Stegostoma tigrinum: one gene and its partner. The protein of the gene in region 2 purifies or fractionates together with the protein of the main gene of each other region. This does not show direct contact. Links are inferred from orthologs where the notes say so. Each region holds a gene or a part of one and is shown on either strand. Other genes may lie near its edges.

What was found.
Region 1: the proteins of dcaf6 (region 2) and troponin C, skeletal muscle-like purify together in Homo sapiens (affinity purification with mass spectrometry; 3 studies listed by BioGRID and IntAct, with this or other methods). This does not show direct contact. The link is inferred for Stegostoma tigrinum from reciprocal best matches to the Homo sapiens genes DCAF6 and TNNC2.

What each region holds. Positions count from the first base shown.
Region 1 is NC_081372.1:51,804,236-51,811,823, forward strand, and holds the start of troponin C, skeletal muscle-like, read left to right. Parts: upstream 1-4,575; 5' UTR 4,576-4,681; coding exon 4,682-4,684; intron 4,685-6,957; exon of another isoform or gene 6,958-7,035; intron 7,036-7,588. UniProt on the Homo sapiens protein: Troponin is the central regulatory protein of striated muscle contraction. Tn consists of three components: Tn-I which is the inhibitor of actomyosin ATPase, Tn-T which contains the binding site for tropomyosin and Tn-C.
Region 2 is NC_081365.1:41,497,607-41,504,847, reverse strand, and holds the start of dcaf6 (DDB1- and CUL4-associated factor 6), read right to left. Parts: upstream 3,010-7,241; 5' UTR 2,785-3,009; coding exon 2,697-2,784; intron 2,435-2,696; exon of another isoform or gene 2,413-2,434; intron 1-2,412. Other genes in the region: mpc2b (mitochondrial pyruvate carrier 2b), read left to right, coding at 3,344-3,443. UniProt on the Homo sapiens protein: Ligand-dependent coactivator of nuclear receptors. Enhance transcriptional activity of the nuclear receptors NR3C1 and AR. May function as a substrate receptor for CUL4-DDB1 E3 ubiquitin-protein ligase complex.

The sequences.
Region 1 (7,588 bases), on a different chromosome or scaffold from region 2:
GGCCCAGCTGTCATCAACCATCACACTGTCAGCAGTGAATTCCCTTTCACTCACCGCCTGTCCTCTCAAACATTCCGGACTTATCTCCTTTGAAAAGTATCTCTAAAATGCATGGCAGCTGCTTGTAACAAGAAACCAGGCTTGAAAATTGACTTTAGTTCCTGATATCTTGTTCACACATGAAAGTACTGGATCAATAAATACATAAATTGTAATCTAATTTGATTAAACTAAAGACTAAATTTCCTGTCTTAGGATGAAAGTCAAGATATTGTTTGTTCACTTATTATCGTTTTGTGTGCTAAGTGGTAAAGTTATGGCAATATTCTGCAGAAAGATTATTTTGTTTGTTATGCAGAAATGTTTGAGTTGACATCTGTCTAATGTAAAGATTGAGACTCAAGAGTGGGAACAACCTGATTACTCTTGTTCTGCGTTGGCTGTAATGTAATGTTATTTTAAAAATCAGACCACAAGTACAATTATAATTGTTTTGATGCATATACAATCACACCATTAGTAGGAAAATTCAGGTATGCAGCCAAAAAAAAGCCATACAAACGTAGCAGCAAATATATATATACAAACATGTTGGAAAATGCAAATACACCTGTACTGGCATACATGTCATAGACAAATACAAGCATATAATTAAGGAATAATAACAAGTAAAAATTCACACAAAAATACAAAATAACCTGCAATATCAAATACAAGCAAACAGGTCATAGGCAATTAGCAGTATAGCCAAAGACAGAAAGTAGTATGCATGTCATAATCGAATACATGTGCACACCACTGAAAAACATAGGTACCACCTCAATATTAATACAAATATACCCATCACATCACATCTATAGATCCCATAACTGGCAGATCTGGGAACATAATTTATTACAAGAAATACAGGAACCCATTACAGACAAATATAGATCAGACTATAATGAACATTAGGGGTACACATGTCATGCATAAATACAGGTTTACCCTGTCACAAATAAAACAGACATACCCATCACAAACATGTACCTGTGTCAAAGACAAATACTTATATATACATCACAGAAATATACAGGTAGACTTGCAGTTAGCAAATGTAGGTATATCTATCACAGCCAAATACAGGTACACCTGTAAAGACATGAAACAAAAAACAACATAGACATACACAGGTACACTAGCCATAGAGAAGTAAAATTATGCTAATCTTAGAGAGGTAACGTATACCCAAAATCAGACAAACACAGTTTACAGATAACAGAAAAAAAGATATATTCTTCCACATAAAATTATTAAAACTGTCCATTACAGGTATGCACTGAAATCCTTATTACTTACAATTACAAATATACCTGTCACTATCTAATGCAGAAAAAATCTTCACAGCCAGATATAGTTAGTTATATTTGCCACACATAGGGGAGGCAATGGCCTAGTGGTATTATCGCTAGATTGTTAATTCAGAGATTTAGATAATGTTCTGGGGACTTGGATTTGAATCTCGCCACAGCAGATGGTGGAAATTGAATTCAATAAATATCTGGAATTAAGAAACTAATGATGACTGTGAATCCATTGAAAGAAAACCCCTTGGTTCACCAACGTCTTTTAGGGAAGGAAACTGCAATCCTTACCTGGACTTGCCTGCACATGACTCCAGACCCACAGCAATGTAGGTGACTCTTACCAGCCCTCTGGGCAATTAGGAATTGGCAATAAATGCTGCCTAGCCAGTGACGCCCTCATTCCATGAATGAACAAAAGCTCAAGGGCAGGTATATTCCTAATAAAAATGTGCAAATAAACTCCTCAAAGACAAGTTTAGGCATAAGTATCATATATCAAACAGATATACCCTTATAAGACATTCCCAGCAATATACAGATATGCAATGGATAAATATAAGTTTGCCCATCATAGAAGAAAAGATAGGATACACCAAATATATACAAATACACCCGTAATGGGATCATTTCTATCTGAGAGACTGTTGGTGATTTCTTCATTTGGATTTGAAAATGTCAATGCACAAAATGCAAAAATGATACAATTATCTAAGATTTCTTCTGATCTTTTAAACAGTTAATAAAAGTGTGGGCATGTATGTGAAGGGACATGAACTACTGATTGAAATGAAATAAACAGTATTGAAATTTAAAGAATTGAGTCGATATCTTGTAAGAAAAATGTGTTCAATATAAAGACAGACTTTGGCTTGGTTCTGAAACATAAAATGATAATGTGTAAAATAAATACGAGCAACATTTTTACCAATCATATGATGGGCATGCTATACTTAACCACCACAACTGCCATTTCCCCAACTGCCCTCCCCGACTCCTCCACACAAACAAAAAATTACATTTCACCCAACATGTCTGACAGTTTGAATTTTCAGTACTATTCTGTGGAAAACCTCATTGCTTTGGTGTTAGCTCAGCTTCAGTTTGTCGCACATTCACCTTTGCATCAAAGGTTCAAGGTTCAGATCTCATTTCAGATCCTTAATATAAAACACAAAATCAATTTGATACCCCAGAGCAATGTTTGGGAGGTGGTGACGGGGTTGCTTTCTTTCAGATGAGATTCTACACTGAGAATCTGGCTGCCACCTCTAGTGAATGTATAACACCCTACTGGAAACAAAAACAGAAGTTTCTGGAAAAGCTCAGCAGGTCTGGCAGCATCTGTGAAGAGAAATCAGAGCTAACATTTGGGCCTGGTGACCCTATTGCTGTTTTGACACCATCACCTTAATAAGTTGTTATGTTCTCTCTACCTTAATTATTCTGTACAGTTTTGGATTACTTATTAATTTGGTTACACCCGCGGCATGCAACTCTTATACCTATCATGTTTTTCCAGTCATTTGGTTTGTCTCCAGCACCACCTGATATTAATTTTTTTTTGTAATTATATCTCTGCCTCATTTAATTGGATTATAAGTCATCCCTTCACTTATTATTCAGCTGCTGACACATTACTCAGACTGTCTGACACTTTTGATCATCTGCAGAGACTTATTACTCGAGCCTCCACTCATGCCATTTATATGATTATTTGATCTCTCCACCCTCGATCTCTCTGCCTATAAATTCTGTGACTGTGTGCTACTCTCTCACATCACCTGATGAAGGGGCTAGGCTCTGAAAGCTTGTGATTTCAACCTGGTGTAGTGTGACTTCTGACTGTTGTTGTGAAGAGCAGGGGAATTAGCTCCAGTAAATAAAAACCAAAAAAAACCCTGTGGATCCCATAAATCAGAAATGAAAAGTGAAATTGCTGCATAAACTCAGCAGGTCTGGCAGCATCTGTGAAGAGAAATCAGAGTTAACGTTTCGGGTCTGATGACCTTTCTGAGGAATGGCCTAAAATTGATTTCTCTTCACAAATACTGCCAGATCTGCTAAGCTTTTCCAGAAATTTCTGTTTTTGTTTGTGATTTGTTCCAGTAGCCTTATTCCACTATCAATATCACTATCTTCTTGTTTGTGGGATTTCTACAAGCTGATAGCCACTTTCCCAAATTACAACACTAACTGTGCTTCCAAAGTACAGTGCATCAATATATTTTGCGAAGTCAAGCAATGTGCTGTATGGATGCAAATGCTACGTTTATTGGTTGAAGGCAAATACAGCAATATAGCAAATGATTATTTAAACGTCGCCATTAAGGTGCCTTTCCAGCTCCGACGTGGCATTTTCATAGGATTGGACTTGTTCCAATCTCGCTTACTCACCCTGAATTCCATGCTGAGGAAGAATTGGGCTTCGTTTGCATTTGGATACTGTTTGGCTCGTTTTGAATCTGATGACTGATTTGATTTGTTAAACAGGCCGATTTCGTGACAGCAGGACCTGAAACTCATTCCAATTGTCCAAACATTTGGCCAGAGCCGCTCAGAATTCCTAGCAGTTCCTGGCTTCCAGCAGCCACAGCATTTTGACTTTACGTAATCGCAGGGATTCCTATTAAAATTCTTTCAACTGTTAAACGCAGCCATAGACGGCCGCTGCATGGGTATGAACGATCCAACAGAAAAGTAAAGGTTTAACCTGGAATGGCCCCTAGAAAAGGACTCTCTCCAGCTTTCAAAATTGTTATTGGAATAAAAAGATCGAAGTGTCGATTTGCCCATTCAAACACTGCTACTTCCAGGATTTAGTTACGGGAAGAAAAGCCTATCATTGAGATATCTGGTTCAAACACCAGCGATTGATCCGGGACACTGTTGATCTCGGGGCCCGAAGTGGGGTCGATCTTTGTACATGACCAAGATACTGAGTCATTTCAGGATGAGTACAGTGCTCCACGTGGCCCCGAGAATAGCTATTATCATCAAATGTTTTGTAGTTAAATAATGACGGGCAGTTAACGAACAAACTGGATCTATCGCATACCTGAGGGGCCTCGATCAGTCCCTTTATATAGCTTGTTTCGGACAGAGCCCACCCTCGCCCGGTTGTAAAAAGAGGACACGTGCCCACCTCGCAATCTCACTATTGGTTTTTCTACAAGCCAGGTCAGAGATGCTGAAATCTCACTGGATATTCGGCCAATTAAAGAAAGAGGGCAAGTTAAAAGCTGAGGAGAAAAAAGATTAGCTTTCTAGTAGGAGTTGTGGAGGAGAGGCGTTTCAATTTAACCTGAGTTTCTGTGGCGCCCTAATAAGCCAGGACAATGGTAAGCATACACATTAAATTCATGTTTCCAATGTGTTGTTTCATTAATTCCAGCGTCATGCTGATATCATCCCGCTTCGCTCCTGTAGCGCATATAATAAGATAGAGTAAGATATATATATATATTTAAATCGGCGAACAGTGTCTCCGTGCACAATTCGAGATGTCCAATTTCTTTTTTTAAAGTTCAACAGCTACTTTAAAATAAAAGGTGGAAAGTACATTATAGCCAAACGAAGCAAAACAAAAAGTAACGGTACACGGTACTTGGTGTCGCGCGTCTTCAACAACAAAACCATATTACCTGCTAGCGAGTTCCGGAAAACCAGCAAATGCGGAAACAGCAGGGACTCACGGCGAGAATTCAACAAAGTAGCCTGGATATTGCTATGGGGTTTTGTTTTAGAGGTGGAAAAACAATACCTTGCAATTGGACATAGTCATGATATAAAATGTTTGCAAAGGGAAGAAAATGCACAATGTGCCTTCCACCTTTTTCTTTAAAAAATACATTAAAAATTCAGAGATGTAGCTATCTGGTATAAAAAAGGGAAATTTATTTTAAGGATATGCTTTTGCTAACATCATTTGACAGCTATAGCGTGAAAACGCCAGGTGCCACCAGAGTAAACAAAATAAACCTTCAGATTAGTACAACTCGCGAATCAACGTTGCTACTGTCGACGCCTTAACTGCCACAAACAAAAATAAACAAGCAAAATGATGTTACAAAGTAAGAGATCGCTTCCCGTTTTTGTTTGTTTCTCTCTGTGAATTTCTCCGTGAATTGTGAGCACGGTTCCTCAAGAGCTCTCGCCGACCTCTAGTACCTGCAAGAGGGAACGAAACGGATAAAAAGCGGAAGATTCGCGTTATAAATAGAGTGAAAGGGGGTCTTCTTCACTTACGAGGCACATTCCTGTGGCTAAAGTTTCTGGATTAAGGCCGTCGCTCATCAGGGAGCTCCGAGTTTTCCGCCTTCTCGACCTTTAATGGGCTGGCGGATTTGGAAATGCTTGCAGCAAAGCACGAGGAGAAACGCGGACACACGTTCCCAGGTTACACACGTATGTGTTTCAACGGAGCGTGTGCAGAGTCACCCGGAGCTCTCAAACTCCCGGGAATAATTCCGAACAAACTGTCGCCGACTTTAGATGACAAGGCGCGTGCACTACTCCGACTAAAAACTGTTGACAATCGCCTTTATTTGTATTAGAGGGGAAAGTAGAATGCGCAGTGAAATGATTATTTGCATCGTGGTGTTTGGTTGTTTCTGTTTAATGAGTTCAGTCAGATATTTGAACCACTCACTGTGACAGTGTATCGAGTGAACCGAAGAGTACAGCCAAGCCATCTCAACTTGCTGATGTCTTCAAACTCCACACTCTCTCCTGGCTAATTTAAACCTCTGACAGGAGGAGTCTTCAGACAAGACTGATTTCCCCATTTTGGGAAGAACCCCTTCAAGCAGTTAAAAATATCTCATCTTCTGTTCCATCATAAGATCTCTCGTCTATGCCAATCACTTACCTTCTCTCCGTGGTACCTACTGCCACCCACTGATTCCTCAAATCTGGTCTGTATCTAATTGGAGACATTTAGTTTTTGATCCGTTCACCTCAATCATAAAAACGGGGCACGTTAAACAAACGCCGTGCGTTCGTTTAAACATAGAATTTTAAACGAGACCTTTTTTAAAAAAAATTCTCTCGTCCAATATTCTGGGAGTTCTGGCTTTAAAATTTTACATGGCAGTTAAGCATTCCAAATGAGCTACATGTGGTTTGCAAAACGTTAACCAATTTCAAATGTTCTGCATCTCACAGTCACAAAGATTTTTTCGATATAAACCTGCAGACGAGCGAAACTTGATTCAACTGTTCAACGCGATACTCAACAGTAATTTTGACAACTCGCCAATGGGCGAGGAACCCGCACAATCAGGCGAGACTCGAGTTGTAAGTCTCGCCCAATATTCCTCTCCATTTATACCAATAGAACGGAACTGGTGGTGCGTAAAATCGGCGTTCCACCGGATCTGGTCAGTTTCCGAAGAATAAGTTAAAATCACACCAGCCACCATCCCGCAGCCCCCGCCGCCCCCATTGGATGATCCCGATGTTTTCCGTTTCACCTTTTACTTCCTGAACATTTTCTTTTGCGCTCTCAGCAAAATTCTTCTCCCTCCCCTCAACAACCCCACCCCCCCTTCCTATCTTACCGCAATCTGATTTGCTGTTGGAGAAAGCCGACGTCGGCTGGATTCCCGAGGTAAATTTACAGACCAAGTGGCATCCATACTGTCGCCACCGCTGAAGTCAGGAGTATAGGTTGTCCAAAAAAAAAGCCGAGGTAAGAACCGTTCGTTTCAATCCGTGTACGTCGAAATCAGTCGAGTTAGGGTGGGAATAAAGTGGCACAGGAACTCAAATGCGCACCGTTCTTTCTGCCTTTTGAGGCTATTTGCATTGTACTTCACTGCGGAGCACATCATTCTCCTGCAGCTAGCTAAGTCATTGCACATCTCTAACATGTTCTGTCTATTTGAAATCAGTGCCAAGAAGTGGCAAGCCTTGCAAAGTTCTACTTCAGTCGTAGTGCAGATCGTTTCTGTGAATGTGCGTTATAACTGGTGTGAATTGAGCGAAGATGAAGCTGAGCTACTCCACTGCTTGAGATACATTGGGTTTCAGTGCCGACTCGAGAAGCCCCCACCTGCCCGTTACTCCAACTATGACTTTGCTTCAAGACAGAACTTTTCCAACCCATTTCAATTCGGCCACCGTCTTGAAATCCGAGTTGAAAGAAGCGGATATGTGATATAATCATTTTGCTTTGTTTGTTTAGAATTGGAGACCCGAGACGAGGTAAACATGAGAGGATGAAACGAAAATGCTCAAATGTT
Region 2 (7,241 bases):
CCACTCTGCACCAGATTTGCATGCCATTCTCAATCTCCTAAATTCTGCATTCAAGAAACTTGATCGCTGCTGAAACAAAAATCTCACATCAACCCAAACCTGGTCATCCAACTCACATTCCTATATGTATTAGTTAAGAAACTCTTGAATATGTTGAGCAGTTCCCTCATTTTGGCAGTCACCTGTCTCCAAACATTGACACTGATGAGAAAATTCAAGAGCTAACCTACAACTGCCTAGCCTTCTCGGCAGCAGCAATTTGACTCCACAAGAAAACAACATTCCTAGTGCAGAGAGCAGTTATTGCCAACATAATCTTAGACAATGTATCAGTAATGCATCAGATCAAGAGAGAAATTCCCACAGTAACATGTCCATCCCATCCTCTGGATTCATCGGAAGGTTGGTCAAAACCTTGTATCCTTATTGAAGGCAGTTTCTAAGCAAAGATAAAAAAATCTTACAATTTTTTAACAAAGATCTGTAGCTTGGGTTGTGGTTGGAGTTATTAGTTGGTCCTTTGAGCTGACTGGTTTTTATGCAAACATTTTGTCTCCCTTCTAGATGATAATGTCAGTGCCACGTAGCCTGAATTGTAGTGTTGTTGTTCTGTCCCCCTGTGAATTTATATGCTCCAGTCTGTCATGGTGAGCAATCTTGTCTCTGCTTTTATACCATAGTGGTACGTAGATGGGGTCTATTTCAACATTTTTATTAATTGCATCAGTGCTTGAAAACCAGGCCTCCAGGAATTCTCATGCTTGTCTTTGTCTGACTCATCCTAATACTGTAACTTTGTCCCAGTCAAACTGATGTCCTTCTGTGTCAGAGTGTATTGAAATGAGGCACAACCAATTCTTCCTCATTTCAATACATTCTGACATAGAAGGACATCAATTTGACTGGGACAAAGTTATAGTACTAGGGCAAATGAGGCAAAGACAAGCACGAGAATTCCTGGAGGCCTGGTTTTCAACCAATCGACGTAATTAACAAACATGCTGAAATAGACCCCATCTATATACCACTACAGTACAAAAACGGAAACAAGACTGCTCACCGTGACAGGCCAGACCATACAAATTCGGAGTGGGATAGAGCAACAGCGCTTCAATGGAGGCTACGCAGCACTAACAATGTCACCTAGAAGGGAGACAAAACATCTGCATGAAAACCAGTCAGCTCAATGAGCCAACCAACAAGCCAGAGAAAAGAACCCCTGCAAAAATGAACTTTGATACACTGAACATTACTTGATGGTCAAAAAGCATCTACCATTCTGTTTTTTCAATGCCCAAATGGTCAGTCTTCTGGGAAGGACAATGAAAATGTTTCAATGACACTCAGGAGATCTTTTTGAAGTGTCGCAACATTGGCATTTATGATTAGGAGAAGCATATTATCAATTGTTCAAAGGGACAACATTTGTCCATTAAACTGCATCATATGTTAAGTGACGTTTGATTCACATCATCTTAATGATAACAGAACAAGGAAAAGGAAAGCAAATCCTGCCCTCTAGACCCCACTACCTACAGGACACCTTGCTTCATGTGTTCATAGATCTGTAGTTTCATAATCAAGCCTCATCAGTCATGTGGAGACCCATGCAGAAACTTGACAGTGGCAGCAGCAATAGTGAGGCCTTGGGCTTATCCAGTTACACACAAGCTTGTAGCTCAGAAGTAAATGTCAAATGTATTTGAACTCTAATCATTTAAAAATTAAATATACTGAACTTGTTGACTGATCTTATTTACTTGACAAAGTAAAAACTGCAACTAAATTTATAGGTGAATGAAGTTTCTCTCAATTAGTATTGTTTTTCAAAATACGATATGAAGAACCAGAAACATATTTTTGATGCTGATTAAATCAATGAACTTTTACACACCAACATACTAACCATAAGATACAAAAACATCGAAGGAATTGTCATTCAGGAGTTTAAAATGACCAGGAAAGGGCAAATAATAATGCATTTTTTGACAATTTGAAAAATGAACACAACTACACAATAAAAGCCTTCACCACCAAAAAAATCAGATATATCTCTAATGTAATAAATATTCAAGGTCGCGTTAAACTGGGAGATTGTTTTTGGAAATATTTCGGAAACGCTATCATCTGGCTATTATTACGTCAATATCTTAGCAACAGCTCTTGGTGGTGTATATAAACCCGAATTATTTTCTCTTCAAATTTATATCTACAATTAGAAAGAATATCAAATCCTACAGGCAAACTGAAAAAAAAACTTTCGTGAAACTACTAAACCGAAGCATGGGGCGAGGGAGAAACTAAAACACTAGTTCTCTTACTACAGAAACACAATGTCCATTCAACATTACGTACATCCTGTTGTCAATCATATCATGTTTGCACAATTTAACGTCTTAAAAACAATCGCACCTTTTGCCTCTTCTAATCTTAAATCAAAGTTGCTCTCGGAGACACACGGGGGAAATATTCATCTAGCCGCCAAGACGGGAATAAAACGCTAAATTCGTTTAAAAAAAACTGTACTTGCTGGGAAGATTTCTAATTTGGGCCAATGAAATTTTTAAAAACACTATATGCTTTAAAAAAAAGCACACGTAGTGCTTAAAAAAGGGGCAGAAACAGGGGATAGGGCTGGAGCTGGTATGAGGAAAGTGGATCAGCTGGACCTCAGCAGGCAGTCTACCACTTCTTACCTAAATAGGACAAGCGAATTAAGCGAGGATCCTCCAGCCCCAGTGAGCGTTTCCTCACATCCCACACCAGGTTAGTGGGACGTGACATCCTGCCGCTCCTCCTGTTACACAAATAATATCAACCACTGCGGGCGTCCGTCATTATCCACCCGACAAGACAACAAGGTAGCCAAAGACACCATCAAACACCACCCGAGCCAAACCGCTCCTTTTTCATATCGTTGTTATTATTGTGGTGACGACCGTCATGTTGGCAATGGGCGAACGGCCGTCTGTCAGCCGTGGAAATATCGCGAGATCCCGTTCAAATGGACATGGAGGAGGTGGGCCAAGCCCCGCGCATCAGCGGACGCGCGGACGTCACCAGACTTCCGCCAGCAGTAACCACTCACATCTGTCTAAAGCGGGGGCTGGGTGCCGAGCGTAGTGTCATTGGTCAGTGACGGTAAGGGGCGGGTTTCAAAGTGATCCGGCTCCGCCTATGGCTGTTTCGCACCGGCTGTCGTACAATTAGTGTCGGGCTGTACAAAGTTAGAGGTCGAAACGGGGCCGACCGTGAATTTTCCGGGCCCTCTAGGCGGTTTGCTACCGTCTGTACAGACACTCCCTTTCTGAACGGTTGCGGGTTGTAATTAGGTGGAAGGAATATGGCAGTAGCGGGTCTGAGAGCGAGTTATCACCGAATGATGGATAAAATCGGGAAGATGCTTCCTCCCAAGATGAAGCCGTTTTATGATCACCCAGCAGGTAACACAGCCGTGCGACCGGCCTGGGCAGGCGTGCTGAATGGGTTTATTCTTGACGGAAGTGGCTTGGGCGAAAGGGTGGGTAGGTGTATGTGTGAAGGAGTGGATCCTGCTGCTGTTGCTATGAATGTTTGCTGAGCGAATAAAGGTGGGGGAATGCTGCACAAACATGAATAGCATTTAACAAACAAAAATCGCGGCTGCTTGTCATCGGTCGGTCTGGGACTTGGCATCTGCTGTCACTGAAATAAATGATTGTATGGCTTCTTGGGGGCAGAGAGGAAATGGGCCGCACTCCGAGGGGCCTTCAAATTTCGCCTTTCCAGTAAACTGGTTGTAAAGTGGGTCTTGACGCTTCACAGGTTTATTCCCGTGAATCAAGTCCTGGCACTTTAGTGCACAGTTAGAAATGTAGTCGTGTCATTCAGATAAGGTGAATGTAAAACGACTCCGGCAGCACAGACTGGTAAATTTAGGAACCTAGCGAGTTTATGCTGGTAATAACTTGGTTCTTCTCAGAATATTGTTATACGTGTTTTGACCTTGAAACTTCATTTTTAAAAATAAAGATCGTTGCTCGGATTGAAGGTAATTTGGTTTGGTGTCCCGTGTCGAATCACTTATTTGTAAAATTTAAAGCAGTTGTAGGTTTAATATTTTCAGATATGATTTTCAAAAGAAACTATGCGCGCAATTTCGATCGATTTTTCGTATCTCCAAGGAGATAACTACACGCCACTTCAACGGTAGCAGCACGGCTGTGACGTTTCAGCCTCCCTTGTAAACAGAAGGTTAACTTGCACGCGTTGCTGACCTTCTATCCAGTCTACGCTTGCCTCGACAACTGCTTAATGGTAACTGGTGTCAAACATGTGCATCTTTACAAACGTGTTTGGAGTAAAATGAATGTACTCTTAGGAGCAGTTTGGGATCCATCTTCCGAAAACTGTATTAGAGCATTGTGCCTTCTGTCATTTGATTCTGTTTTTTATTTGAATGTGTTTAGCAAAAATGGTTAAAGATGAAATAACAGAACCCACCTTTCCAACAAGCTGAATACAAGACAACATTCCCCCTGTAGTCAAGAACAAAAGCTTAAAATCGCCATTGAACTTTAGCAACATTGACATTCTTACAGATTCTTGCACTTACCCCCCCCCCCCCCCACCTCCCCCGTTCCATTTTTCTCTCGCTCTATTACCTTCTCCTGTCAATTGCATAATTTGGATGCCACAACTTTTCTCTGTTGGGGTAGATAAAGTATGGTATGGGATGTGCTGCCCTTAGTGCTTAGCTCTGAATGTGTGAAGTATTTTAATTTATGATTGGCTTGCAGTGCACTTGTCTATTTGTATTCCAGGATTAAATGGATGTAAACTGTGTACAGTCTAAGGAAAATTACGGAGTTGGATTTATGCTTCTTTCCTCAGAGCTTGTAACTGGCCTAGAGTGGCTGCTATTCTGGCAGTTATGTTCTGGTACTGAAGCCATAACCCTCTGGAAAGTTTGCCCAGGGATCTCTGCTCTCTGAGATAATAAAGTGTGAAGCTGGATGAACACAGCAGGCCAAGCAGCATCTCAGGAGCACAAAAGCTGACGTTTCGGGCCTAGACCCACCCTCTGAAGGGTCTAGGCCCGAAACATCAGCTTTTGTGCTCCTGAGATGCTGCTTGGCCTGCTGTGTTCATCCAGCTTCACTTTATTATCTTGGATTCTCCAGCAACTGCAGTTCCCATGATCTCTGCTCTCTGCTGGTTTTGATAGCAGCTCAGTCTTGTATCCTCTTCCTTTGGCTTGTTTCTTTTAGAGAATGGCGTGTAGCGGGTTTCCAGGGTTTATCAAAAGCATCATTGGCTTGCCCGTTGCTCCAGGTCATCCAGGTATCTTTCGAAGCTTTTCTAATGTTACTTTTGAATTTATTTGGCTATATATGACTATATTGTATACATAATTCTTTCAATTGGATGTAATTTTTCTAATTCCTTTCCAACTTGCCTAGCCTCAATGCTTGAGGTATTCCTTGGATATTGCCAATGTATGGATTTTATTTGGATAGAAAAGATGTAAAGAGTTGTTCTCCAGGTGGATACTTCAACCATCATTTTAAAGAGGTGTGTTTGGATTTGTATATAGCAGTCACACTATCACAATTTGCAGATACATCAAAAATATGAAGCTAGGTAACAGTGTGTAAGCAACTCTGGGCAACTTGGGCAGGTAGGTACCAAGTTAAATTTTAATGTGGACAATTGTGACTTGACACTTTTTTGTAAGGACAAAATAAGAGGGCATATTCTTGGGAAGACTTTAAAAGTGCTCAAAAACCTTTGAGTTCAAATAGACACACCTTTAAAAGTAGGAGGACATTGAACAGAAGAATGTTAATCATTTGCAAATCATTGGTTAGACAATAGGTAGAATCTTGGATAGCTTTCACCAAAAATACTAGGGCAGGTTGAGATAAAGCTTGACAATAATTGCTCTTTGGAAGAGAATCGTTATTTATTTACAGACTGGATATTGTGGGGCCTTTTGTTATGATAATGACACTTAAGAAGATGTCTAACTGCTATTTAAAGTTGACTTTTCACAAAAATGTTCCTCTAACCTTTAAGCTGGTAATGTGAGGCCATGAGTTTACAGTCATTCTCATTAAAAACAGCAGGCCAAGTTAGAAGAAATTTTTTTACATGGATGGTTTTTAGGCCACAGCATAATGATGTGGGAAATTCTTATCAGCTTTTAGAGGAAATGGTAATAAATATTTACTGAAAAAAAATATGGAATAAAGACAAGAAAATGGACAACTTTCTCATAGCCAACACTGGCATAAGGATCTGAATGGCCTCCTGTGATTCTATGGTGAGCTAGTGCCTATTTCACTATTGAAGAGGATGACAAAGCCAAACCCAGTTTTTGTCCTATTGAGCAGTCATGCATGTAATTAGATGCAATATCACTGCATAATCATTGGGGCAGGCAACCTCACCATTTTCTTCCCCAAAATATATATTACTCCTAACATTTGAGAAAGTACACTTGCATGAAATGAAATACTTGTTTCTTGTGCTACAAGGTGGCTCATTTCCACATAATTACAATTTATATTTAACATGTACATTTTTATTTCACACTGAACATTCTCCAGAGTGTGCACACCAAGGAGTTTACACGACTTCCTAAAATCTGGTTCCAGATGCCTACCGTAGACTGTTCTTCATTGGCGTTTGCAGCAATTGTCCCAAGCTTTAGTTTGTACTCCATAAGTAGCTCCTGGATATAGGAATATGTAAGTCTGCAACTCTCAGTCATGGCTAGATCTTTGATCAGGATTACCAGCAAGTTCCCTGCAGATAAAGGAGTGTCTTTCGGAGATCGGTTGTCTTCCAACACCGGTTGATGTTTATCTCAAAGTTAGTCCATGGGAATAGTTTGTAGAGCACAGAATCCTGCATTTAGTCACTGCATGAGATGAACCCTGACAAGAACCACCGTGTGTCTCTTCAGACTTGGCAAGGTACGTTTCATGATGGTAATTGGTAAGGGATTCAAGGGCAGCGTACAATGTCACCAAGATTCCAGGAGTGACTGAAGAATCTAGTTGGGAATGGCTTTTTCTCCACTAGTCAGCTTGTTTGAAAGTTCTGGCCCTGAGGCATTCTGCCATCTAACTTTGACAGTCTGCTCAGGGAATCGCTGTACAGGATTTATTATCTCCTCCTTTCCCTGGAGAGCCTTGGTGACATTTTGTACACACTGCTGTGTGATGAATTTCTGGTCAAATGTATTCTCTCAAAAT